Linked DNA regions of Mus musculus. The protein of the gene in region 1 purifies or fractionates together with the protein of each later gene. This does not show direct contact. Links are inferred from orthologs where the notes say so. Each region holds a gene or a part of one and is shown in the gene's direction. Other genes may lie near its edges.

Region 1 (4,198 bases):
AGTACAACAAAACAAAACAAAACACAACACAACACCAAATAAATGAGCTACCAAGCTATAAAAACTCACAGAGGATCCTTAAAGAGTGTTAGTGAATAATTCCAACTAGAAACGATATTTTGGAAAGGGCAAAACCATAAACAAAGAGATCAGTGGGAACTCTCTGTCCTTAGCCCTACCTGGCCAGGAACACATGATACAGAACAGGGTAGCCATAACTTATTCTCTGTACTTTCTGTTCAATTTGCTGTGGATCTAAAACTCTTCTAATGAAAACTTTTCCGGGTGTCTCTAATGTGCCGCCAGGGTTGAAAACTACTAGCCTCGGTCTTTGCATACAGTTCTTTCCTAAAATTAGGTATCTACTGCTATTTTGTTGTTGTTGTTCAAAGGATGAGTTCAGTATGGAGTCTTTTTCTTCCTCTTTTTCTCTCCCTTGGCTGCTCCTTCTTCATCACCACCGTCGCCGCCCTGTAGCCCAGACAAGTCTCGACCTCATTTTGTAGCCAAGGATGACCTTGAACTCCAGCCTCCAGTTCTCTAGTGTCACGGTTACGTGAGGACTCCACTAGCAGCGGCTAGTATTTGATTTTTCAACGCCCATGAAATAAAAGTTTGACGGGAATAACTACGGAAGTACAAGTGACCACGAGCCGAAGGCAACTGTGTGGGAAGTCCTCGATGCTGGCTGCTTCCCGGGACTCCACGGTGGGCAGGCAGGAGGCACGAGTTCCCGCAGCCGTCCTGGTCCCATCTGCGCCGAGGCGATAACGCCCGGCTGCGCAGCGCTCGCCGAGTTCCCAGGCTCGCTGGGAAGCGTTCTGGTAAACCGCTGGCTTTAAAAGTCCGGAGGAGGGGGTGACCCGGGCACGCCGAGCGCCTGCGAGACGGTGGCCTCCGTTCCGCAGGACTCCGGAGCGGCTCGCGCCGGGCGAGACGGGCGGAGCGTGCGCGGAGCAGCTGCTGGCGGCGCGCGCGGATTGACAGCGCGGCGACTCGGGCGCCGGGAGGCCGGGCTGAGGAGAGCCGTAGCCGACCGCCGAAGGAGCCCGGCGCCCCCCGTCGTCGCCCCGTGCCGCGGGGTCCGGCCTCCGCAGCGCCCCAGGTGGCCGCGGGCAGGGCGGCCGGGAGGCGTTCGCTCCGCCTCCGCCGGCGCGGCCTTCACCAGCCTCCCCGCCCGGCGCTCGGCCGACCCTTCTCCTGCCCCCGCCCGGCTGGCGATGGACGCGGCGTCTCCCCGCTGCCGCCGACGGCCCCGCGCGGACCTGGCTCTGAACCGCAGGGTCTGAGGAGCCGCGTGCTGGGGTCGGGACCCGCGCTGGCTGCCGCCGCTCGGGGGAGCCTCTCGCTTCCTTGTCACCGGGTCCCCGCGGAGGAAGGGGAGGGACGAGACACGGCTTTTCCTGTGCCGCCTGCCTGGCTCGACCTGCGCGGCCTGCGGTTTCCTAGGAACTCGAGGGCCGCGGCCGGGCCAGGCTCTGCCCGCGGCCTGCTTGGAGCTGGACCGGAGCTGTTTGGTACGGCGAGCCAGGGTAAGAGCCTGCGGTCAGGGTAGGCGGGGGCGCTAGGCGCTGTCGGCAGGCTGGGCCTGCGCGAGGATCCGGGCCGCCGAGTCCAGCGGCGGGCGCGGAGCTGGACCCCAGCGCGGTGAGGTCGGTCTTCCGCCGTCGCCTCTGCGTATCGGGCCCTTTGTTCCCCTCTCCGGGCCTTACGGGGCTTGGCTTGTTGGCTTCGGAGCTCCGGCTACGCGCTCCTTGTCCTTGGTAAGGCTCAGCCGCCCGGCGGGGACCGGGGACGTCCCGCTGGGCCTCCGAGTTCCGGGAGACCCGCACCCCAGCCGCTCGGCGGCTTCCTCTTGAGCTCGCAGGTTTGCTGCTTCTCTAGAACTTCGCCCTCCGCCCGGAGGCAGGTAGCTAACTTAGCCAGGTTGGCTGTCAGCGTCGCGGCTCCGGCCTTGATCAGGCCGAGGACGATGGGGCAGCCCCGCCGGGCGCGGCCGATGGGTGCCCACCGCGACCCGCCTCTAGGTTCCCACACCGGCAGGTGGATTGCGTGGGACGCAACGCTGTCCTTTGGTCGGGCATCTAGAAGCTTTTGTAATGACTTGCCTGCCTAGACTACTTCTCAAAAAATTTTTTACATAAAAACTAACTGCCCCATCCTATGGGAGAAAGAATGTCTGCCTGTCTGTCCGTCTGCCTGGGGGGGGGTGGTAACCTGTTAGTTGTATTTACTTTAGCATCAAGCCCCCCCCCCAAAAAAAAAAAAGTTTTAAGAACATTTGCCTAGATTACCAGAAGTTCTTATCAGTATTTACTTCCGCATAGGTAGATTTCATATCTAATTACTGTTTGTATTTGGGCATATTTTAGGAGTAAGTTTGAGAATTCAAAACTCGTGAGAAGGGAAATTCAATCCGAAGAAGAATTGGATTGGAAAGTGGTCTTTAAAACTACTGGATCTGACCCGTATCTGAAGCTCCGATTTTTGGTGGAGTTTGGGGGGAGGTTGCAGGAAGAAGTTGACTGGTAAAAGAACTTTTTTGTACATGTTTTTTGCCTTTTGGCACAGACATTGGTGATAACAGTACTGGGATCCAAAACTTGTTTCATAGTGTTTGACCAAGACAGCTCTGGTTTCTAGTTAACTAGCAACCTAATCAGCATATATTCATTCCAGTGTTAAACTGTTTTGCCTTGAGGGTTTTTGCATTAAGCCCAGGAAGTAGACTGCTGCATATGTAGCATACTTTTTGAAGTAATACTTTGCAGTTTGGAAAGTTTTTTTTTGTTGTTTTGTTTTTGTTTTTTCAAGACAGAGTTTCTCTGTATAGCCCTGGCTGTACTGGAAATCAGCTTTGTAGACCAGGCTGGCCTTGAACTCAGAAATCTGCCTGCCTCTGCCTCCCTAGCGCTGGGATTAAAGGAGTGTGCCACCATGCCCGGCTGGAAAGTTTTTTTTTTTAAAGCATATATATTTGCTTATTTTGTGTGTGTGCAAGTATGTGTGCGTGTGCATATCACAGTGCAATATGGAAATTGGAGAATAGCTCTGTATGTATATACATATACACATGCATGTGTGTGTGTGTGTGTGTCTCTTGAGGACCTGAGGACCTTACAGAAACTTGGTTCAAGCAGATGTACAAGAAAAAAGTCTTTACACAGGCTGATCAGTTCTGAACAAATGTTTGAAAAACCCGTTTCCCTTTTTCAATTTAGGCAAAGGAGCATTTTAAAGACAATGGCAGATGTAGATCCTGATACGTTGCTGGAATGGCTGCAGATGGGACAGGGAGATGAAAGGGACATGCAGCTAATAGCCCTGGAGCAGCTATGCATGCTGCTTTTGATGTCTGACAATGTGGATCGCTGTTTTGAAACGTAAGTGCATTCCTGCATCACCTTCCTCTGCGCCCACTGTGCTGACATCTGTTTCCAGCTATTTGCTGACTTCAGTTTGTGTGAAAACTTTGCTAGGGAACTTTAAAATACCCCTTTAGACATTTCTGCAGTTGTCTGTGGTTCATGGAACCCTAGTAATGATAATCGTGATTATGTAAATACATATTTGTTCAATGAGTGTGGATTAGGAATACTAACCATAGCTTGGTTGAGTCAGTTATGAACCATCTCATAAATTAAAAAGATTATAAATGTTTATCTTCTTTAAAGCTGTTTTTGTATTATATGACTTGGAGAATAAGGTCAGAACTACCTGTTTCTTTGGTTTTCATGTGTCATTGCTTTTGTTAAAATAACTTCGGTTAATACATTTCATTTGGATATTTCCAATACTTTTTGAAGTACAGAAGCTTTGAAGTTGTGTGTGTGTGTGTGTGTGTGTGTGTGTACTTTCGTGTATGCTATGGTGTGCATGTGGAAGTCAGAGGACAACTTTTTGGGAGTTGATCTCTCATTTTAGCATGTGGGTTCCAGGATTAAACTCAGGTTCTCAGGCTTCGTGGTAAGTACTTTTACCAGCTGAGCCATCTCACTACCCAAATTTGGAGAGTTTTAAACAGTTGTATCAGAGATGATACTAGAAAGTTTGCATAAAAATATGAAAGGCATTACTCTACTAGCTCGGCACTTAGGCCATGATTTTCCTCTTGTGTGATTCTGGTTCAGTAAAGGAATAAACATTTCTCTGAGTTCATCTGAGTTGTGAATTCCAATAAGTCACTAAAACCTTTTAT
Region 2 (3,500 bases), on another chromosome or scaffold:
CTGATATTAGATGGCTCCTACCTTATTTTCTTAAAGAAATGATCCTGAGTATTTGCTGTTAATAGATTGCTTCATAGCTACTTACATAATTTTATGCAACTTTGACTAAGTTAAGAGAATTGTTTAGCTTATACATTCTTTTAGGTCTTATATCCACATTATATATTTCATGAAATAAATCAGTTCTTATATCAATCCTGTGCCCAGTACAAATTCACATTGCATATTCATAAACACTAAAGGGTAGATTACAATAGAAATTGTAGGGCATGGGATATAGCTCAGTGGTAGAATGCTTGCTTAGCACACATTAGTGTCCGTTGGTTCTCCTATAGAGAGGGAAGAATAGTTGGCATAAGAAGGGAACCTTGTAGGTCATTCCCCTTTTATACTTCTTTAAACCAAGTGTACTTATTAGTCTTCCATTAAGAGTAAAAATAGCATTCAAAGTCTTGGGGACATGTACCACTGTACAAGGGGTCTGGTCAGTCTTCGGCTACAGAAACCCAATGCGGTAGGGAAGAATGGTCAAATCTGAATAGTAATGAAATGATCTATTTAGTTGTTTACTCCTTTTCATTATTAGGGAGACTTAGGAGCTATTGATGAAAAATATGACATTGCTATTTCATCCTGTTGCCATGCATTGGACTACATTGTTGTTGATTCTATTGATACAGCCCAAGAATGTGTAAACTTCCTTAAAAAGCATAATATTGGGATTGCAACTTTCATAGGTTTGGATAAGGTAAGTATTCATAATAAACTTCCTATAATTTAACTTTGAGGTGCCATATATTTTTCCCTTAAAATTTCTAATTTTTCTTCACCACTATTGGCCCCTTTTTTTTTTTTTTTTTTTTTTTTTTTTTTTTTAATTTAGGTTGTGTGTACATGTTTTGGGAGGTTAAAGGGTAAAGTTTGTAATGCCTTGACTAAAAACTTCCAGTTGTTATGGTGTTGTCCAGTGGATGGATGATTGTTAGTATGTTTCTGTTTGAGGGTGGGGACAGGAGGTTCAAGGCAGGATTTCCTTGTATAGATTGGCTGTCCTGGACTTTGCTCTGCAGACCAGGGTGGCCTGGAACTCCTCCCCATTGCCCTGAGAGTATAGGTGTGTGCTGCCACCACCTGGCTCTATGTTTCTGACTTCTATCACTAAGCTGTTTCTTCATAGAACCTTTATGGAGATGTTGTGTAATTGTATTTTAAAGTAGAACTCAATTATTTTCACTATATCTACAAATTTGCTGATGAATGGCTGTTATCTAATTCCAGACTATTTTTATCACTCCGTAGGCACTGCCCACACTTTTACCCACCCTCAGCTACAAACATTGACATGTACCTATCCTTCATTTGTCTTTGTTCTGGTCTGTTCATACTTCTTGATTGCCTTGACAATAGTGCTATAGCAAAGACTGATGCAAAAAATGTTGTGTAAATGTAAGTGCATACCTAGGAATGGAGTTGATTACTGGATCATATGGTGTATTTTATTGCAGTACATCTTCATAGATGTAAGGTGATAGCTAACTACTTTCATTTACATTTCCCTAATAACTGATATTAAACATTCTTTGTGCTTATTGATCGTTCATCTTTCTTGGGGAAACCTTTGCCATTTTTCATTTGTTTTATTGGATTGTTAAAAACCCTTTAGATTTTAAGGCTCTTGTCAGGTGCATCTTTTAAAATATGTTTTAATTTAAACTTAACAATTGTGACTTTCTTGATTATGTATTTTGAAGCACAAAAGATCTACTTCACAGTAATTTTCTTTAGCTTCTTGGGTAGAAGATGAGTGTGTGTGTTTAGACAGGGATGCTAATGTGTCCTTGGGTAACTAAAACTTGGTGTCTGTACCACACTAACTTTGAACTTGGAGCAATCCTCCTCTCTGCTTTCCGAGTGGCTGTGAGGGCTGTGAGTGCTGGATGTTTCTGAGTTTTAGGGATTTCCACTCTTACGTTTAGATGTCCAATGCATTTCGAGGTTTTAACTTAATGTTAAGTTGTGTGTTGATACTATATAGATATAAAATTAAAATGGGAGGAATTTAATACCATGGTAAGATTTTATTTAGGAGCTGGGTGATGGTGGCACATGCCTTTAATCTCAGGAGGCAGAGGCAGCTGGATCTCTGAATTGGAGCCGACAGCTAGGGAAACCCTGTCTCAAAAACAAAAATTTTATTTAGGGTTATAATACCTAGGAAACATTGCTTATTATGTGCACAATTTTATAACTTTTAGATGACAGTGTGGGCCAAAAAAATGAGCAAAATTCAAACTCCTGAAAATACTCCTCGGTTATTTGATCTAGTTAAAGTGAAAAATGAGGAAATCCGCCAAGCCTTTTACTTTGCTTTACGAGATACCTTGGTGGCTAACAATTTGGATCAAGCTACAAGAGTAGCGTACCAAAGAGACAGACGCTGGAGAGTAGTGACTCTGCAGGGACAGATCATAGAACAGTCAGGTGAGTCGGGTTCTTCCTCCCCTACTGGTTGGCTTTGGTTTTTCGTTTTTGTTTTAATCTTGGGTAAAGCATACAAAACTGACTTGTCATATGTTCCCAGGTACAATGAGTGGCGGTGGAAGCAAGGTGATGAGAGGAAGGATGGGCTCTTCGGTTATCGATGAAATCTCTGTAGAAGAGGTTAGCATGGTCCAAATAGCCGTCACCTCCTAGCCCTCTCGCTGGAAATCCACATATGCTACTACTTGTAGCTCTTAGTTTTGTCTTTATGTTTGAAGCTGGGAGGTTTTCCTTTTTTTTTTTTTATGTTAATGGATATTATGTCCATACCATATGCATGCTTAGTATCCCAGGAGACCAGAAGAGGGTATTGGATCCCTGGAACTGGAAGGTTGTGAGCCACTATATAATGGCCAGGAATCAAACTCTGGTACTCAGAAGTGCTCTTAACTGCTGCATCAACCCCAGGGTTTTTCATTTCATAAGCTAACCTTGAACTCTGGAGGGCGGGCAAGATTGTTGAGAGGGTGGGTAGAAGCCCTTCCTGCCAAGCCTTACTACCTGAGTTCAGTCCATAGAAGAACCAATTCCTACAGGCTGTCCTCTGACATTTCTTATGTATGCCAAGGCATGCATGTGGCTACACACACCACAGTATTAATAATACAAGAAATTTAAGGGCTTTGTGACACTTGGAGAAAATTGTATTTCTTTTATTCTTTGAAGGTAAATAAGATGGAATCCCAGTTGGAAAGGCATTCTAAACAAGCAATGCAAATCCAAGAACAGAAAGTACAACATGAAGAAGCAGTAGTTAAGTTACGGCACAGTGAACGAGACATGAGAAATACACTGGAAAAGTTCGCTGCAAGCATCCAGGTATTGTGTTTGTGTCAGTGACTATCAGCTGGGTCTGTTACAGCTCAACAGCAATTGCAAAGAAGCATTTTGAGCTTGCTTAAATTTTGAAATATAAAAGATGATTAAGTATATTTCTTAGTATGTACTTCGGCTGTCTT
Region 3 (3,500 bases), on another chromosome or scaffold:
GGTGGAGGTTATAGCATGGAAACTAAAATCTTAGTAAGTGTGAATTTTTTTTTTTTTAAATTTTAGCTATCCAACAGTATCCTTTCTATGGTGAAGTTGTCCTCTTAGCAAACGTCACTGTGTATGTGGGGTGTAGATTTAATAGACAGGAACAGAATAAATACACTTATAAAGTGATTTGGCTTTCCAGGTTTAGGAAGGAGAAATACCTATCACTCTGCCTAGGAACCTTTTCTCTTTTCCTTGTTAAAATAGGTCATAGGGAAGTACTAAGTTTAGAACAGATTGAAAAATTGAGAGGTTGTTTAGTGTTCTAATTTAAGTCATTAAAATATCATTAAGTTTGCCATATAAACTGCTTCACTTATGAATTAGTTGTCATTAAATAGTAAAGTCTTCATTATTGTGTAGTGTTAGTAAATCCACGGTTAGAGTCCTGGGAATGTTGACTGACTTATTTGTTTCTCAATACGTAGCCCAAGCTAGCTTCAATCTCAAGATCCTCCTGCTTCAGCCTCCTGGGTGCTAGGATTACAGGCATGTTCCAGCCCTCCCACTTCTAGGACTTCTTAGATAGCAAGTATATTTTTAATATAAAGTAAACATTTTAGTGTATGTTAATTTTTCAGATATCAAATATGAACATTTAGAAATAGATTGGCATGCTTATGCTAATAGTTTTCTTAGAGAAATCTGTCCATTTGAATTTCTTGAGAGTATAAGTAACGTAGAACTTTTAATGTTCCAAATATAATTATATTTTGAGAATACAGAATATCAGAATCATTTCTAGTTTATAAAGTTATTTTGTTAATTGTGATTAGAGCTCATCAGCATATTTTCTGTCTGTGCTAATTCAAAGCAGTGAATAACTAGCACTTTCAAGCTATTTTCCTCCCTTAGCAAGGATAATTAGGAAAGACTTTGAGCTTCTGAAATCACGGATTAGACATACTACAAATAGCACAGTCTACATTGTTTGCAATTTGTGAGTGGTTATTTAAGGTTCTATTTGGTTTGTGTTTTTTCTCTTGCCTGCAAGTCTTTTTAACTTTTCCTAAACTAATGGTGACAGCTGAGCTGAAATTAAGTAATTTCTATTAGTGACTCACCTATTTTTATCTTCTTTCCCTGTAGAAAGACTCTGCATTCATCTCCTTTTATCACTTCAGCAGTCCAAAGTAAACTTTTATTAAACCCTGAAGTCTAAGAGCTCTTTTTGGAAATTTATCTTTACTATTTTTGGAAATCTCCAAACAAAAGTAGAATAATCCAATAAGAAATTTACATGTGTCTTTTAAGAAATATATATTTTCTAAGTTGAAGGGTATTTTTTATTTCGGGGGCATATTTTCAGAGATGGAATTATGTAGCTATTATTTTAATAACAATGTCCTAATTATTTATAGCTTCCTGCCTGACATAACTCACTTCAAGAAGTACACAATGTCAGAACATGGGATTAAGTGGGCCTGTGAATATTGTACGTATGAAAACTGGCCGTCTGCAATCAAGTGTACTATGTGTCGTGCCCAGAGACCCAGTGGAACAATTATTACAGAAGATCCATTTAAAAGTGGTTCAAGTGATGTTGGTAGAGATTGGGATCCTTCCAGTACTGAAGGTGGAAGTAGTCCTTTGATATGTCCAGACTCTAGTGCAAGACCAAGGGTTAAGTCTTCATACAGCATGGAAAATGCAAATAAATGGTCATGCCACATGTGTACATATTTGAACTGGCCAAGAGCAATCAGATGTACCCAGTGCTTATCCCAGCGTAGGACCAGGAGTCCCACAGAATCTCCTCAATCCTCAGGATCTGGTTCAAGACCAGTTGCTTTTTCTGTTGATCCTTGTGAAGAATACAATGATAGAAATAAATTGAATACAAGGACCCAGCATTGGACTTGTTCTGTTTGCACATATGAAAACTGGGCTAAGGCTAAAAAATGTGTTGTTTGTGACCATCCCAGACCTAATAACATTGAAGCAATAGAGTTGGCAGAGACTGAAGAGGCTTCTTCAATAATTAATGAGCAAGACAGAGCTCGATGGAGGGGAGGCTGCAGTAGTGGTAATAGCCAAAGAAGATCACCTCCAACTACAAAACGGGACTCGGAAGTGAAGATGGATTTTCAGAGGATCGAATTGGCTGGTGCTGTTGGTACCAAGGAGGAACTTGAAGTGGACTTTAAAAAACTAAAGCAGATTAAAAATAGGATGAAAAAGACTGATTGGCTATTCCTCAATGCCTGTGTGGGTAAGTTTCTGGGTTTTTGTTTATTTGTGTGTTTTGGGTTTTTTGTTCATACGTTTGGGCTTTTTTGGCCTTATTTTGAATAAGATGGGAAAAGGCATTGAAATGGCTTGAAAATAAGAGGAAGATCAGTATTACTTCGCATTTGACTTATTTGGTGTGATAGTTCATGTATGCATGCATAAAGTTCTGTATCTGTGACCTTGTCTGCCTTGTACCAAAGTGTCCACATTTACTTGTGAACATGCTTTTTAAGTTAAAGAGACTGTTAACACATCTGTGAGAAAGTATATACTTGGAGTTTGAAATTGTTTCTCTTATTTATTGTAACAAGATGTGACAGAGCAACACCAGCTGCTGTTTCTGAATGTTTGTAAACAGTGTGAGCATCTTGTGATGATAGAGGCTTTAGTCAGAAGTTAAAAATATCATAAAAATGTGTGACTCCAAGAAGTTGAACGAACATAATATTTATTGACCTTGAAAATGCTGATGTTAACTTAATATGAATGTCATGTCGTAAATATTTATACACTTGGTAGAACTGATTTCACAGACAGCTAATTCGAATCCATAGTTCAGATTATGACTTATGGGTATTGTGTTTTTAGTTCTTTCATAAACATAATGTTGGGCCTGGCTGTTTGTGTAGAAATGTTAAAGGACAGAGACATGTAAGAGGAAGTTTTTCTCCATCTACTAGCTTAATGAGTTAATAATTTGTGCTATAAATCATAAAAGCTGTTAATTCTGTTTTGTTTTATTTGAGACAGGGGCTTTCACCTTGGTTGTCCTGGAACTCATTATATAGACTAGACTGGCCTTGAACTCACAGAATCCTCCCATCTGAAGGTGTTCATTTGATTTTAAGTCTCCCCTCCCATTAGTAGATTAGGTGTTTGATTTATTTATTTATTTATTTATTTATTTATTTATTTATTTATTTCTGAGACAGGGTTTCTCTGTGTAGCCCTGGCTGTCCTGAAACTCACTCTGTAGACCAGGCTGGCCTCGAACTGAGAAATCCCTGCCTTTACCTCCCAAGAGCTGGGATTAAAGGCGTGCGCCCCCAGTGCTCAGCAGGTGTTTGGATTTTATTTAAACTATTTCTATGGGCTGCTTACTTTGGTGTTCACTTTTGTTTAGAAATACTTGAGTGGTTTATAAGGTTAAACTTGATGTGGAACCATAGCTACCTTCCACTCCCCATTGATTTACCCTTTTGGATGTAGCCCCATGAGTA
Region 4 (4,049 bases), on another chromosome or scaffold:
TTAAGATTTATTTATTTTATTATCTGTAAATACACTGTAGCTGTCTTCAGACACTCCAGGAGAGGGCGTCAGATCTCATTACCGATGGTTGGGCGCCACCATGTGGTTGCTGGGATTTGAACTCAGGACCTCTGGAAGAGCATTCAGTGCTCTCAACCACTGAGCCATCTCTCCAGCCCGGTGTTTAATATTCTTAGTGGTGAAGAGAATACTATCTCAATGTTGGGCCCTGCCCCGCATGGTGGTGCACACTTTTAATCTCAGCACTCTGGAGAAAAAGCAGGCAGGTGGAACTCCATGAATTCAAGGCCATCCTGGTCTACACAGCAAGCTCTTGGCAGGACAGTGTTAAACAGAGAACCTGTCTCAATGAAAATAAAGAAAAAGAACTTGAAGGTAGGAAGGTGGGGAGGAGCTGGGAAGGGAAATTATAGTGACACATAGTTTGTATTTTTTTTCTCATTTTCTCAACAGTTCATTACTACCGTTTGATTTGATTTTACTGGTTATGAGTTCTGAAATGACATGATTGGACTAATGCTTTTATGTCACAGAAAGGAAAATGCACTGTATGAAAAAAATAAATTGAAAAAACAACTTAATGTGATAACACAAAAATGCCACCAGCAGTGGTTTGCACTGCATAGTCCAGAGTTTGTTTCTTTAAATTAGGTATTTTCTCTTAAAAGATATAATTTGTCTTTGAAACTAATTTAGCAGGGGCTGGAACCAAGCCTCAAAATTTTACATGCCTAAATATTCATAGCTTGTAGGTGATTCTGGGAAACCCCACTGCACAAGTTCTAAACTTTTTATTTCTATGTAATACAAGATAAGGCTTAATATACACACTTAAAAAAAAAGTGGGAAACCAGCTCAGAGGCCAACATTACTCCACCCCGCTGCGAACTAGTAGCAGGAGAGATGTTGTTTTCCTTTAGAACAGCAACACTGTACACCCCAGAGGTAGAGGAAAGTGCGTTTCTTACAGAAATTAACATCAGAATGCGGGGACTAGAGGGTGGTGTCCAGCAGTCTGGCAGCTGTCAGTGGCCCCAGGGCAGGTCTGGCTCCGCAGGTGAGTTCCAGCCTCCGGGCAGCGGGCCGGCCTGGCCGGTGGCTGCCGTAGGTAGTGCTCTGGGCCCAGGGCGTCCTCTCCCTCGCCCCAGGCGCCCGCCTGCCCTCCACTGAGCTCAGCCCACGGCGCCCGACGCCCTAACGGAGCGGGCGGGGGCGGCCTACAGGCCCCTCCCCGGCGCCCGGCGGCAGCCGCGCAAGCAGCGGAGGAGGCGGGAGCGCCCAGGCCGCTGCGCTCATGGCGTCGCCGGGGTGAGTGAGGCGCTCCGGGTGTGCGGGGGGCGCCTGTTGGGCGAGGGGCGGGCGGAACTGTGCGTGTCCACCACCCGGCGCCCCCTTGGCCTCGGCCGGACCCCGGCTGACTCTGTCCCGCCAGGTGCCTGTCCACGACCCGCGGCCTCCCCCGCCGACCTTGGGCGGTCGTAGCCGGGCCAGGGTCTCCCGGCAGGGCCGCGGGCAGGACCAGCCAGGACAGCGGCCGGTCAGGGCCGGAGAAACGGGTTCTGGAGAGGGGCAGCAAGGAAGCTGCGGGAGGGGACTCGGGGTCCTAGGGCTCGGCTGAGGCCGCAGAGCGGCTTAGCAGGCCTGACGTGTGTTTCTGGCGTTTAGACTTGCTTGCGTTGGAAGTTGATGCTTGGGTTCACAGTCATTAGGGGACATCCCCAGGCTGTCCCACGTCAGGGCAAGTGGGGCTCAGCTGGACTGGACCCTTGTCCAGAGTGAAAAAGCGGATTCGGGATCTAAGACTGCCTGTGTTGGGGTGGGGGTGGGGGTGCTTCTGTGGGATGGCTACACTTGTTCTGGTATTACCTCTTTCCTAGTGCTCGTTCTCTCTCCCAAATAGTGTTCTTAGGAAATTATATAGTGACACATAGTTTGTATTTTTTTCTCATTTTCTCAACAGTTCATTACTACCGTTTGATTTGATTTTACTGGTTATGAGATCTGAAATGACATGATTGGACTAATGCTTTTATGTCACAGAAAGGAAAATGGGTCTCAAGGTCATCGCTATAGGTGGTAAACATCTTTTTGACTGTACGCCATCATTCAGAGGGTCTCAGACCCAGTAGTACTGGTAGCAGCCCACGCTGTGTATCATTGCAGTTAGAAGACTTACAGGTGCAGGAGGACTTCTGGGGGAAGCATGTAGAAGTTAGCTCTCCCACAAAGGCAGACTTCACTATGCTAGGGAGTGATTTGGCTCGGTACAGTGGTCTGAATGAAGGTGAATGAAGCAATCTGAACTTGATCCAGGCCTGCAGGCGCCAGTCAGATCATGGGCAATTTCCACCTGCCTAATGCCTTTCTAGGCTCGAGGGCAAGCAGGCACTTCTGAGACCAGGCCTTTTTCAATGCCAGCTGGGTATCCAGTACTTTGAGCTCATAAGGAGAATAAACTGTGATCCATCCTGGGCAGGCCAGGCTTTGGACCCAGAGGGCCAAGGTCCCTCTACATTCTTGCCCAGCCTCATAGGAAAGTGTAAGGCAGTGTTTGAGCCTGTGGCAGCTGCCATTAGGCTTGTAAGACAGCTTAGTACATTTTGTGTCTAAACACACTGCTTTGTAGACAGGGGTTGGAGGAGGATCTCCTAGGATTAATAATTCTGTGTGCCTGGACCCACAGAATTATGGTATTGTCTGATAACAGAATAGTGTAATGCCTGAACCATGGTCTGTATATATAGGTGGTATTAATATTTGCGATTCTAGTTGTGAGTGATCCAATTAATTTGTAATATTAATAGTAATCTGTAATTTCCTAAGGGGTGTCTATTAACAAAACTGAGGTCACAAAACTTTTAGTATACTCCATTTAAGGAGAAATCTATGCTTACTTTGATATGCATACACTACTATATTAGGTGTTTTAGAGAGCAAATATAGATCAATACATGGCAGAAATGGAAGGAGCTGTTCTGGGGAGGGGTGTCTCTACATTTGATTTTTTTTTTTTTTTTTTTTTTTTTTTTTTTTTTTGCTAAGTAGCAGTGTCAGTGATCTATGATAGAACTAGAGAGGAAAGAAAAAAAAAACTCTTAACTTGTTTTGAGTACCTTACAGATGTGCTAGGCATAGTGTCAAAGAAAGAAAAGATGTGTTTGAGAGATGACCCATAATCCACTGTGTCTTGAGCTAAATAAATAGAAGAGAAGGCAGGGACCGTGGACTCTTTGCCTACCACTAAAGGGCATCTCCAGTCGGCCTCACCACAGCTGTCTCTGGGGGAATCTGGTAAGCATTGTAGAGGAGAGGACGCGACACAGTCCATCTGTCCATCTGGCCCCTTCTGAGCAGGTCCCACCCTTTACAGGTGGCCTAACCAGAAGCACTTTAGTTCAGTCCTCAGCACCACATAAACTAGGCTGTAATTCTAGCACTCTGGAGTAGAGGCCAGGTGATCAGATGGTCAGCACCATCCTCTGTTAGAAGACGTCAGCTTGGAATGCATGAGAACCTGTCTTAAAATAAAAATGAACTCTGGAATGTTACTGTCGGTTCTAACAGCACTTACGATTGCCCGCTGCCCAGAGGAAAGGCAGGGAGATGCCTGCCAGCCTTGCTCTCACTCCCACCTACAGAGATCTTCCTGTTTAGCCTTCTCTTTGATAGTTTGGGTTTCCTCTGTCAGCCATCTCTGCTCATCTCAATACAGATTCTGCATTTTCATGGCTATTTCTGTGGACTTAACTGTTGATTCACAATTCACATGTAGGTTTCTAGGAGTTTCTCTGTTCTTTGAAATATTGTATGCAGTGTTAGGGTGATGTTTATGGTCCTGGAAACAAAATCTAGCTATTGTTGGGCTCAAGACAAGGTATGACTATGTCACCCAGTCAGGCCTTGAATTCATGATCCTCCAGCTTTGGTCTCTGGAATGCTGGGATCGCTGGCCTTCTTTCTCCCTGTGCTCAAAAGCATTCTCATTCTTAGCAGGGTCGCAGGCCATCCTAGACTCCTAGACTGTGTGT
Region 5 (3,500 bases), on another chromosome or scaffold:
CACCTGTAAGGCCCTGACTTTGATTGCCCGTATCACAGAAAAAGAAACAGACACATTTTGTTATAAACACTAGCATGGTTTTCTTTGAATTGTGTTTTTACAGCTGTTGTAGAAGACCCACTTTTTCTCTTTTTAACAGGGTCATGACCGTGGAGTCAACTGGGCTGCCTTCCACCCGACTATGCCCCTTATTGTATCTGGGGCAGATGACCGGCAAGTGAAGATCTGGCGTATGAATGGTGAGTAAGGTACTGGCGATGTTGCCATAGCCAAGAAAGTGGCAGCCAGCCAGCAAGGGGAAGTAGCCAGGTTTTCTGGACTTTGGCCTATTTTTCTGCCTTAGGCCTTAGTTGATTATTTACTGCTATTCCTAAGTGCATGATCATTGTCTCTTCCTCCCCTCCACACCCCTCATGGCAGTATCTTGATTTTGAGAGATATGAGCATAGTCAAGAGTAAAAGTTCATGTGACAAATTGTGAGTAGCTGCTTTGTTTTAGACTGTGTTTAGGGCCATATTTATATTATTGTGACTCAAAATTTCCATGATATAGAGTTTATATTTGTTCTCAGAATCAGCAAGTAATACATATACTATGTGGATAAAATAAGAGTAGAAGCATAAAGAATTATTTAATATAGCTGTTACAGTCAGTAGAGGTACATAATAAAAGAACAGAGATGTACAGAAAAACAGGAATTTTGGAGCTGAGGTAGCTGTGGCTACTCAAGAGGCTGAGGTAGGGGCTGGTGAGATGGCTCAGTGGGTAAGAGCACCCGACTGCTCTTCCGAAGGTCGGAAGTTCAAATCCCAGCAACCACATGGTGGCTCACAACCACCCGTAATGAGATCCGATGCCCTCTTCTGGTGCTGTCTGAAGACAGCTACAGTGTACTTTACATATAATAAATAAATTAATTAATTTAAAAAAAAAAGATTTCCTAAAAAAAAAAAAGAGGCTGAGGTAGTACAATTCCTAGGAGGTCAAAGGTAGCCTGAGCAACAGCAAAACCTTGTCTTGACACCCCCCCCCCCCCGCAAAAAAAGGTTCAAGTAACTAAAAAAAATAAACATAAAATAAAGAGGAAGAAACTTACATGAAAAACATTGTCCCATTTGGGGAAAATTGATTTAGCATTTTGCAATAGTACTTAGCACTTGCATTTAAAGAGCATCATCACAGCTGTCCATGACAGTATAGCTTTGCAATGTCTATCAGCATGACGATATAGCCTTGCAGAGTCAGCATGCATGTACATGACAGTACAGCCTTGCAGTATCAGCATGACGGTATAGCCTTGCAGTGTCAGCATGCATGTACATGACAGTATAGCCTTGCAGTGTCAGCATGCATATACATGACAGTATAGCCTTGCAGTGTCAACATGACGGTATAGCCTTGTAGTGTCAGCATGCATGTACATGATGGTATAGCCTTGCAGTATCAGCATGCATGTACATGATGGTATAGTCTTGCAGTATCAGCATGCATGGCTGAGGCAGGAGGATCACAAGCACAAGGCCGTCCTGAGCCATATAGCAAAACCTTGTCTCCTCAAAAAGCTGGGGCTAGAGATGGCTCAGTGGACCCACAGAGGGCTGAGTTTGGTTCCTAGCACCTATGTCAGGCAGCTCACAGACATCTGTTACTTCAGCTCCAGGGGCCCAAGGGCTGCCTTCTGGCCTCCACAGATACTACACTCAGATGCAAAAAACCACATACAGATAAATACACACAAAACTAAAAACACAACTAAAATCTTTTTTTTTTTTTTAAAGAATGGGTGTTGGATTTATAGATCCCAGAGTTATTACAGAGAATTGTGATAACAATTCCTTTTGTTCTTCAGAATCAAAGGCATGGGAGGTTGACACCTGCCGGGGCCATTACAACAATGTGTCTTGTGCTGTTTTTCACCCTCGCCAAGAGTTGATCCTCAGCAATTCTGAAGACAAGAGTATTCGAGTCTGGGATATGTCTAAGCGGTAAGGGAATTATTTATGTCATGTGACCAAACCCAAGAGAAGGACCCTTTCTTTGTCTTATCCTTTGTCTTCGCGCGTGCGTGCGCGCACACACACATACACACACACACACACTCCTTATGCAATATTAATATCTGTAAAAGGAAAGGAAAAAATTAGAATACTTCTTTTTCTCTTCAGCATGATGAAAAACCAAGTCCTGTGTTCTGAAGTTCTAAGGCTGTATTGCTTAGTGGTTAAAGTGCTTGCCTGTCATGCATGAGGCCATAAATGTAATCCACACTGCTGTAAAGCAGTAAATAAATAAATAAGCAAGCAACAGCAAAAACCCTTAGAGACTAAAATAGCAACAATATTTTTTAGGTACAAATCTCCCTGTATTCTTTTTCTCCTCTAAATTTGAGTATATTTTTTTCTTCCCTTCATTGTTCAGCTAAAGAGGTAGAAATGTGAACTAAAAGTACATTAGGAGAGACAAGGGAGAAACTGGCCTGCCTAGGCCTGGGTTAGTGTGAAGCCTTCCCTCCCACTGTGTTCCTTGTGGGTGTGGTCCTGATCCTTAGCTGAGTGCACAGCATTCCCTGTCTCCAGTGCACTTGTAAAGTCATCTTCCAGGCCTGCTACTCACTTTCCTTGTGCATGCTGTACTGAAGAGCCTTGATTAACGGTTTCTTCTGTACCTTTTGGTTTTCTAGGACTGGGGTTCAGACTTTCCGTAGGGATCATGATCGCTTCTGGGTCCTGGCTGCCCATCCCAACCTTAACCTCTTTGCAGCAGGTAAGGACCATTTCTTCTTCTCGCTCCTGGGATTTAGTTGAAAGTTTGTAGATTTCAAAGTGATTCTTCCTTAGCTTTGTCTCTTATAAGTGGTAATAGGAAAACAAAGAGAAGCAGAGTTTTCAGAGCCACCTACCGGAAGCTTTTCTCATTCTCATCTCTTACTTTTGGGAGATGGAGCTCTTTAGTGATCTTCACCATGAAGCTCTGTTTGACCTTAAGCTCATTCTCTGTGATGTGCTTTTAGGAGCTCATAGGAGACTAATAGTGAACATTTAGAGTTCTCAGAGTGAGAACGTAGAAGCCAAGTCTACTTCATTCATTTGTCAAATACATAATAAAATATCAGCCCATGCTCTTTATGCTGGTGTCAGAGCAGTGCATAAATACTGCCTGCCTTAGTGGAGCTTTAAGGGAGATGGTCTGTAAACTCTAAGTATAGAAAGTGATGTGTGTTTGAAGATGCCTTGAATAAAAAGTCAAGGGAAGGGAGGACGATGACAGTGGTGGCCTACAGGCTTATAGTGGGTATTCAAGAACGTGAACATGAGTGAGAAAAGGGAGACTGTGCTGTCACAGGCTGCTTTCCTAGTTTGTATGAGGTCCTGGGTTCAAGAAAGAGAAGGAAGACCAGGGAGATGAGTGACAGAAAACTATTTGGAAAAGGTTTTTAAAAACTGTGAGTTTAGGAATGTATTTAGGGGGGGGGGTATGGCGGACTTTTGGGATAGCATTG
Region 6 (4,142 bases), on another chromosome or scaffold:
CCCCCCCAAAGGCATTTGGGCAAAGGTTTACAAAAGGGAGCAAGCTGGCAGAAAGATATTCAGGCAGAATAGCATAGCAACGGATTTCTAACACAATACCAAAAATATACTTGCTTAACCTGTTAGAACAATTGACATTGAATCAGGGTGAGTTAAAGGCAGGGATAGAACAGAGGATTTGCCAGGCAGTGGTGGCATACGCCTTTAATCCAAGCACTTGGGAGGCAGAGGCAGGTGGATTTCTGAAGGTCGAGGCCAGCCTGGTCTACAGAGTGAGTTCCAGGACAGCCAGGGCTACACAGAGAAACCCTGTCTCAAGAAAAAAAAAATCGAACTGATATGAATTGCTGCTGTTATACACACAGGGTCTCCAAGGTTTAGTACCCACGATGGAGCGTAAAATCACAGATAGATCCTTTTAAAGTTTTAGATGCTGAAAGAGTATTTCGATCATTAAAAGCAACTTCACCTAGTTTGACTTTTTTGTTTGTTTGTTTTTATTAGGTATTTATTTCATTTACATTTCCAATGCTATCCCAAAAGTCCCCCACACGGTCCCCCACCCACTCCCCTACCCATCCACTCCCACTTTTTGGTCCTGGCGTTCCCCTGTACTGGGGCATATAAAGTTTGCAAGTCCAATGGGCCTCTCTTTCCACTGATGGCCAACTAGGCCATCTTCTGATACATATGCAGCTAGAGACACGAGCTCTGGGGGTAATGGTTAGTTCATATTGTTGTTCCACCTATAAGGTTACTTTCTCTAGCTCCTCCACTGGGGGCCCTGTGATCCATCCAATAGCTGACTGTGAGCATCCACTTCTGTGTTTGTTAGGCCCGGGCATAGTCTCTACTTTGACTTTTTATATGGCTACTTGGATTTAAAAATCTCACATGTGGCTCGGATTATATTTTGTGGGACAGTGGCTAGGCTGTACTTTCGGCTCCCAGCAGGGAATCTTTTCTGTTCAAGAGCTCTGACCGCCCCCTTCGCTGCAAAGAGCTTGGGTCGGTTTGGCCTCCGGAAGTTCCACGCTGTCGCCACGTTTGATCCCCCTTTCCAGAGGCGCGAGAGACAGTCTTGACGGGATCCATCTCTCAAGAGCAGTCCCAGAACCATCCCAGGCACCCACGCCCTTCTTTCCCTCACAAGCCCATCCCTCTGACCTCGTCACGGCAAGCGACACAACCGCTAAGCCCTCAGGAGGCAGCGGCATCCTCCAGGCACACGCCCACCTTTGATTGACAGGGCGGATCCAGGCGCGAAGAGAGCGACATGAAACTTCGTCATTTCCGGGGACCCAGGCGGGCCTTCTTAAGCCAGCTGCCAAGAGTTTCCTGTGCGAGTCGGAAGTTCCCTCACTTAGAACTCGGAAGTTCCCTCACTTAGAGCCCGGAAGCTGGTGTCTGGTGTGTCTTTTCCTGGCTGTGGGCGAAGGAGGTTCTCTGCGTTTGTGGGACTAGAAGGCGGCCGGTCAGGCTTAGAAGGTTCTCGGCTGGGTCGTCTCTGTCTTCCGGGCCCGGGGATGGCGGCTCTCACGTGCATCACCTGCCGGGTGGCGTTCCGCGACGCGGAGCTGCAGCGGGCGCACTACAAGACGGACTGGCACCGCTACAACCTGCGGCGCAAGGTGGCCGCCATGGCCCCGGTGACGGCCGAGGGCTTCCAGGAGCGGGTGCGGGCGCAGCGCGCGGTGGCCGAGGCGGCGGAGGCGAGCAAGGGCGCGGCCACCTACTGCACGGCGTGCGGCAAGAAGTTCGCCACCTTCAACGCCTACGAGAACCACCTCGGCTCCCGGCGGCACGCCGAGCTGGAGCGGAAGGCGGTGCGGGCCGCGAGCCGGCGCGTGGAGCTGCTGAACGCCAAGAACCTGGAGAAGGGGCTGGGCGCGGACGGCGTCGACAAGGACGCCGTGAACGCCGCCATCCAGCAGGCCATCAAGGCCCAGCCCTCCACGTCCCCCAAGAAAGCGCCCTTCGTGCCCACGGACGAGTGCGGGAGGGCGGCGGCGGGCGCACGGGGCGTCCCGGAGCGAGACCCGACGGAGAAGCCGCCCCGGCTCCAGTGGTTCGAACAGCAGGCGAAGAAGCTGGCGAAGCAGCAGTGGGAGGACGGAGAGGAGGAGGGAGAGGAAGAGGAGGAAGACGACGAAGACGAAGGTAGGTAAGGGTCCTGTCGGGGTTGGGGCGAGCGGGAGGCTCCGGGAGACATCGCGATGGAGACGAAGGGCTGGGTCCACGTTCAGCGATGTCGCCCTCCCCTGAGGCCCCCAGCCCGAGCCTTCTTCAGTGTTTACCTTTGCGACATCCATTCCCAGGCTGGACCCTGACTTTCTTCTTATCCTTTTACCGCAGCCTTTGAGGGAGTGGGGTTCCAGGCCCAGGGCATCCCGCCTGGATTTAAAGATGTTTCCTGGTTTATGACTTTTAACTAGTTAAGCAGATGGATTGTAGGCCTCCATACTTTTTTGGTGTTTTTTTGGTTTTTCGAGACAGGGTTTCTCTGTGTAGCCCTGGCTGTCCTGGAACTCACTCTGTAGACCAGGCTGGCCTTAAACTTTAGAAATCCCCCTGCCTCTGCCTCCCAAGTGCTGGGGTTAAAGGCGAGTGCCACCACTGCCGGGCTGTAGACCTCCATTCTTATGCTTGCTCCCGGACGCACCAAACTTCGTGTGGACCCGAAAGGGAACAGTATTTGGGGATTTCTATAGGACATTTTAGAGTGAGGGCAGAAGTGGTTTAAATGCCTCACTGCTCTTCATTTCCACAGGGCACTTTGTCTGTCTGCGTCTCTGTGGTGGATCCAGGACCTAGGGCATTGATTAAAAACAGAATAAAAGAGTAGAGGCGCATTCTTAACGGGCAAAACATTCTTTTAGTTTGGATCAGGAAGGGTTACACTGGTGCACAGAAAGCTATGCTGTTGGCACGCTGCTGTAGAATGTGTGGTTAGAATGGCTTAGGATTTTACATTTCACTTAGTTGACTAAAACTGAGTGAGGGTTTCGTGTTGCCTGCAAGCCTGACTTGTGGGGCTCCAGCCAGCCCCAAGGTTCCTTACTTTGTGAGTTCTTTATTCACCCCCACGGCACTGTTGATACTGACAGTGTTTGTGTTCATGTCTTGGTCGGTTTATACTTCTGTAACCAAGCATCTTAAGCCTGGTAATTTATAAACAACATGAACTTATTTTGCCACAGTCATGGAAGATGAAGTAAAAAATGAAGCTACTGGCACCCTGACTGTTTAGTGAGGGCTTGCTCTGTGGAGGGGTATTTTTCTAAGCCTTACTTAATGATGGAAAAGGCAGATCTAGGGTGTGTACTCATGGAGGGGGAGCAAAACACAAAAAAGGAGACTTGCCAGTTCATTTAAGTCCTTTTCTTAGGACATCAACTCACTCATGAGGTTCCTAGAGGTCCCATGTGTTACATTGGTGACTAAGTTGAACTTGCATGGACACATATAAACAGAAGCATTCATATAGCAGCCCTGCACACACCAAAATATACACTAAAGTATTCCTGTGAAGTGCAAATGGTAGACAGCTACTGAACCAGATAGGAATCCAATTAACTTGGTGTCCAGTACTGGGCTAGGTGCAGTAATGCATAGGAAAGAGGTTAGCAACTATTTTATAGAGCTTCCTGCTGGAAAAGAAAGATTAAAGAGGTTTTTATCATTTAAACTTGTCTGGGGGTATTTGATCTCTGATTGTGCTTGCTTTATCACACCTTTAAAAGTAAATTTATTTTTCAAAACTTTGGCTTAAAGATTGGGAAGATATTGATTCCGATGATGGATTGGAATGTGAGGACCCTGGAGTGGAGGATCAGGATGCAGAAGATGCAGCGGCTGAGGAGAGCCCACCCCTAGGTGCCATCCCAATAACAGACTGCTTGTTTTGCTCCCATCATTCAAGCTCCCTCGTGAAGAATGTGGCTCATATGACTAAAGTCCACAGCTTTTTTATTCCTGATATAGAGTATCTTTCAGATTTGAAAGGACTAATTAAATATTTGGGTAAGTACAATGATTTTGCTTTTGATGAAGAAATATTTTTCAATTTGTGAGAGTAAGTAGTGAGATTTAACCTGACTTCTAAAGATTGATTTCATATTATTTCCACATGACCAGGAGAG

Evidence for each region.
Region 2: the proteins of Hectd1 (region 1) and Smc4 purify together in Homo sapiens (affinity purification with western blotting; 3 studies listed by BioGRID, with this or other methods). This does not show direct contact. The link is inferred for Mus musculus from reciprocal best matches to the Homo sapiens genes HECTD1 and SMC4.
Region 3: the proteins of Hectd1 (region 1) and Zranb1 purify together in Homo sapiens (affinity purification with mass spectrometry; 5 studies listed by BioGRID and IntAct, with this or other methods). This does not show direct contact. The link is inferred for Mus musculus from reciprocal best matches to the Homo sapiens genes HECTD1 and ZRANB1.
Region 4: the proteins of Hectd1 (region 1) and Urgcp purify together in Homo sapiens (affinity purification with mass spectrometry; 4 studies listed by BioGRID and IntAct, with this or other methods). This does not show direct contact. The link is inferred for Mus musculus from reciprocal best matches to the Homo sapiens genes HECTD1 and URGCP.
Region 5: the proteins of Hectd1 (region 1) and Copa purify together in Homo sapiens (affinity purification with mass spectrometry, with the first as the bait; 3 studies listed by BioGRID). This does not show direct contact. The link is inferred for Mus musculus from reciprocal best matches to the Homo sapiens genes HECTD1 and COPA.
Region 6: the proteins of Hectd1 (region 1) and Zfp622 purify together in Homo sapiens (affinity purification with mass spectrometry; 4 studies listed by BioGRID, with this or other methods). This does not show direct contact. The link is inferred for Mus musculus from reciprocal best matches to the Homo sapiens genes HECTD1 and ZNF622.

What each region holds. Positions count from the first base shown.
Region 1 is NC_000078.6:51,826,537-51,830,734, reverse strand, and holds the start of Hectd1 (E3 ubiquitin-protein ligase HECTD1), read left to right. Parts: upstream 1-1,445; 5' UTR 1,446-1,505; coding exon of another isoform or gene 1,506-1,880; intron 1,881-2,466; coding exon of another isoform or gene 2,467-2,550; intron 2,551-3,221; 5' UTR 3,222-3,243; coding exon 3,244-3,383; intron 3,384-4,198. Other genes in the region: uncharacterized protein Gm5785, read right to left, coding at 594-1,445, 1,506-1,880, 2,467-2,550. UniProt on the Homo sapiens protein: E3 ubiquitin-protein ligase which accepts ubiquitin from an E2 ubiquitin-conjugating enzyme in the form of a thioester and then directly transfers the ubiquitin to targeted substrates.
Region 2 is NC_000069.6:69,025,238-69,028,737, forward strand, and holds part of Smc4 (structural maintenance of chromosomes protein 4), read left to right. Parts: intron 1-586; coding exon 587-748; intron 749-2,255; coding exon 2,256-2,481; intron 2,482-2,581; coding exon 2,582-2,661; intron 2,662-3,207; coding exon 3,208-3,360; intron 3,361-3,500. UniProt on the Homo sapiens protein: Central component of the condensin complex, a complex required for conversion of interphase chromatin into mitotic-like condense chromosomes.
Region 3 is NC_000073.6:132,948,176-132,951,675, forward strand, and holds part of Zranb1 (ubiquitin thioesterase Zranb1), read left to right. Parts: coding exon of another isoform or gene 1-33; intron 34-1,409; coding exon of another isoform or gene 1,410-1,446; coding exon 1,447-2,260; intron 2,261-3,500. UniProt on the Homo sapiens protein: Ubiquitin thioesterase, which specifically hydrolyzes 'Lys-29'-linked and 'Lys-33'-linked diubiquitin. Also cleaves 'Lys-63'-linked chains, but with 40-fold less efficiency compared to 'Lys-29'-linked ones.
Region 4 is NC_000077.6:5,738,377-5,742,425, reverse strand, and holds the start of Urgcp (up-regulator of cell proliferation), read left to right. Parts: upstream 1-1,249; 5' UTR 1,250-1,315; coding exon 1,316-1,329; intron 1,330-4,049. UniProt on the Homo sapiens protein: May be involved in cell cycle progression through the regulation of cyclin D1 expression. May participate in the development of hepatocellular carcinoma (HCC) by promoting hepatocellular growth and survival.
Region 5 is NC_000067.6:172,099,529-172,103,028, forward strand, and holds part of Copa (coatomer subunit alpha), read left to right. Parts: intron 1-139; coding exon 140-239; intron 240-1,850; coding exon 1,851-1,986; intron 1,987-2,681; coding exon 2,682-2,764; intron 2,765-3,500. UniProt on the Homo sapiens protein: The coatomer is a cytosolic protein complex that binds to dilysine motifs and reversibly associates with Golgi non-clathrin-coated vesicles, which further mediate biosynthetic protein transport from the ER, via the Golgi up to the trans Golgi network.
Region 6 is NC_000081.6:25,983,024-25,987,165, forward strand, and holds the start of Zfp622 (zinc finger protein 622), read left to right. Parts: upstream 1-1,342; 5' UTR 1,343-1,526; coding exon 1,527-2,160; intron 2,161-3,774; coding exon 3,775-4,023; intron 4,024-4,137; coding exon 4,138-4,142. UniProt on the Homo sapiens protein: Pre-60S-associated cytoplasmic factor involved in the cytoplasmic maturation of the 60S subunit.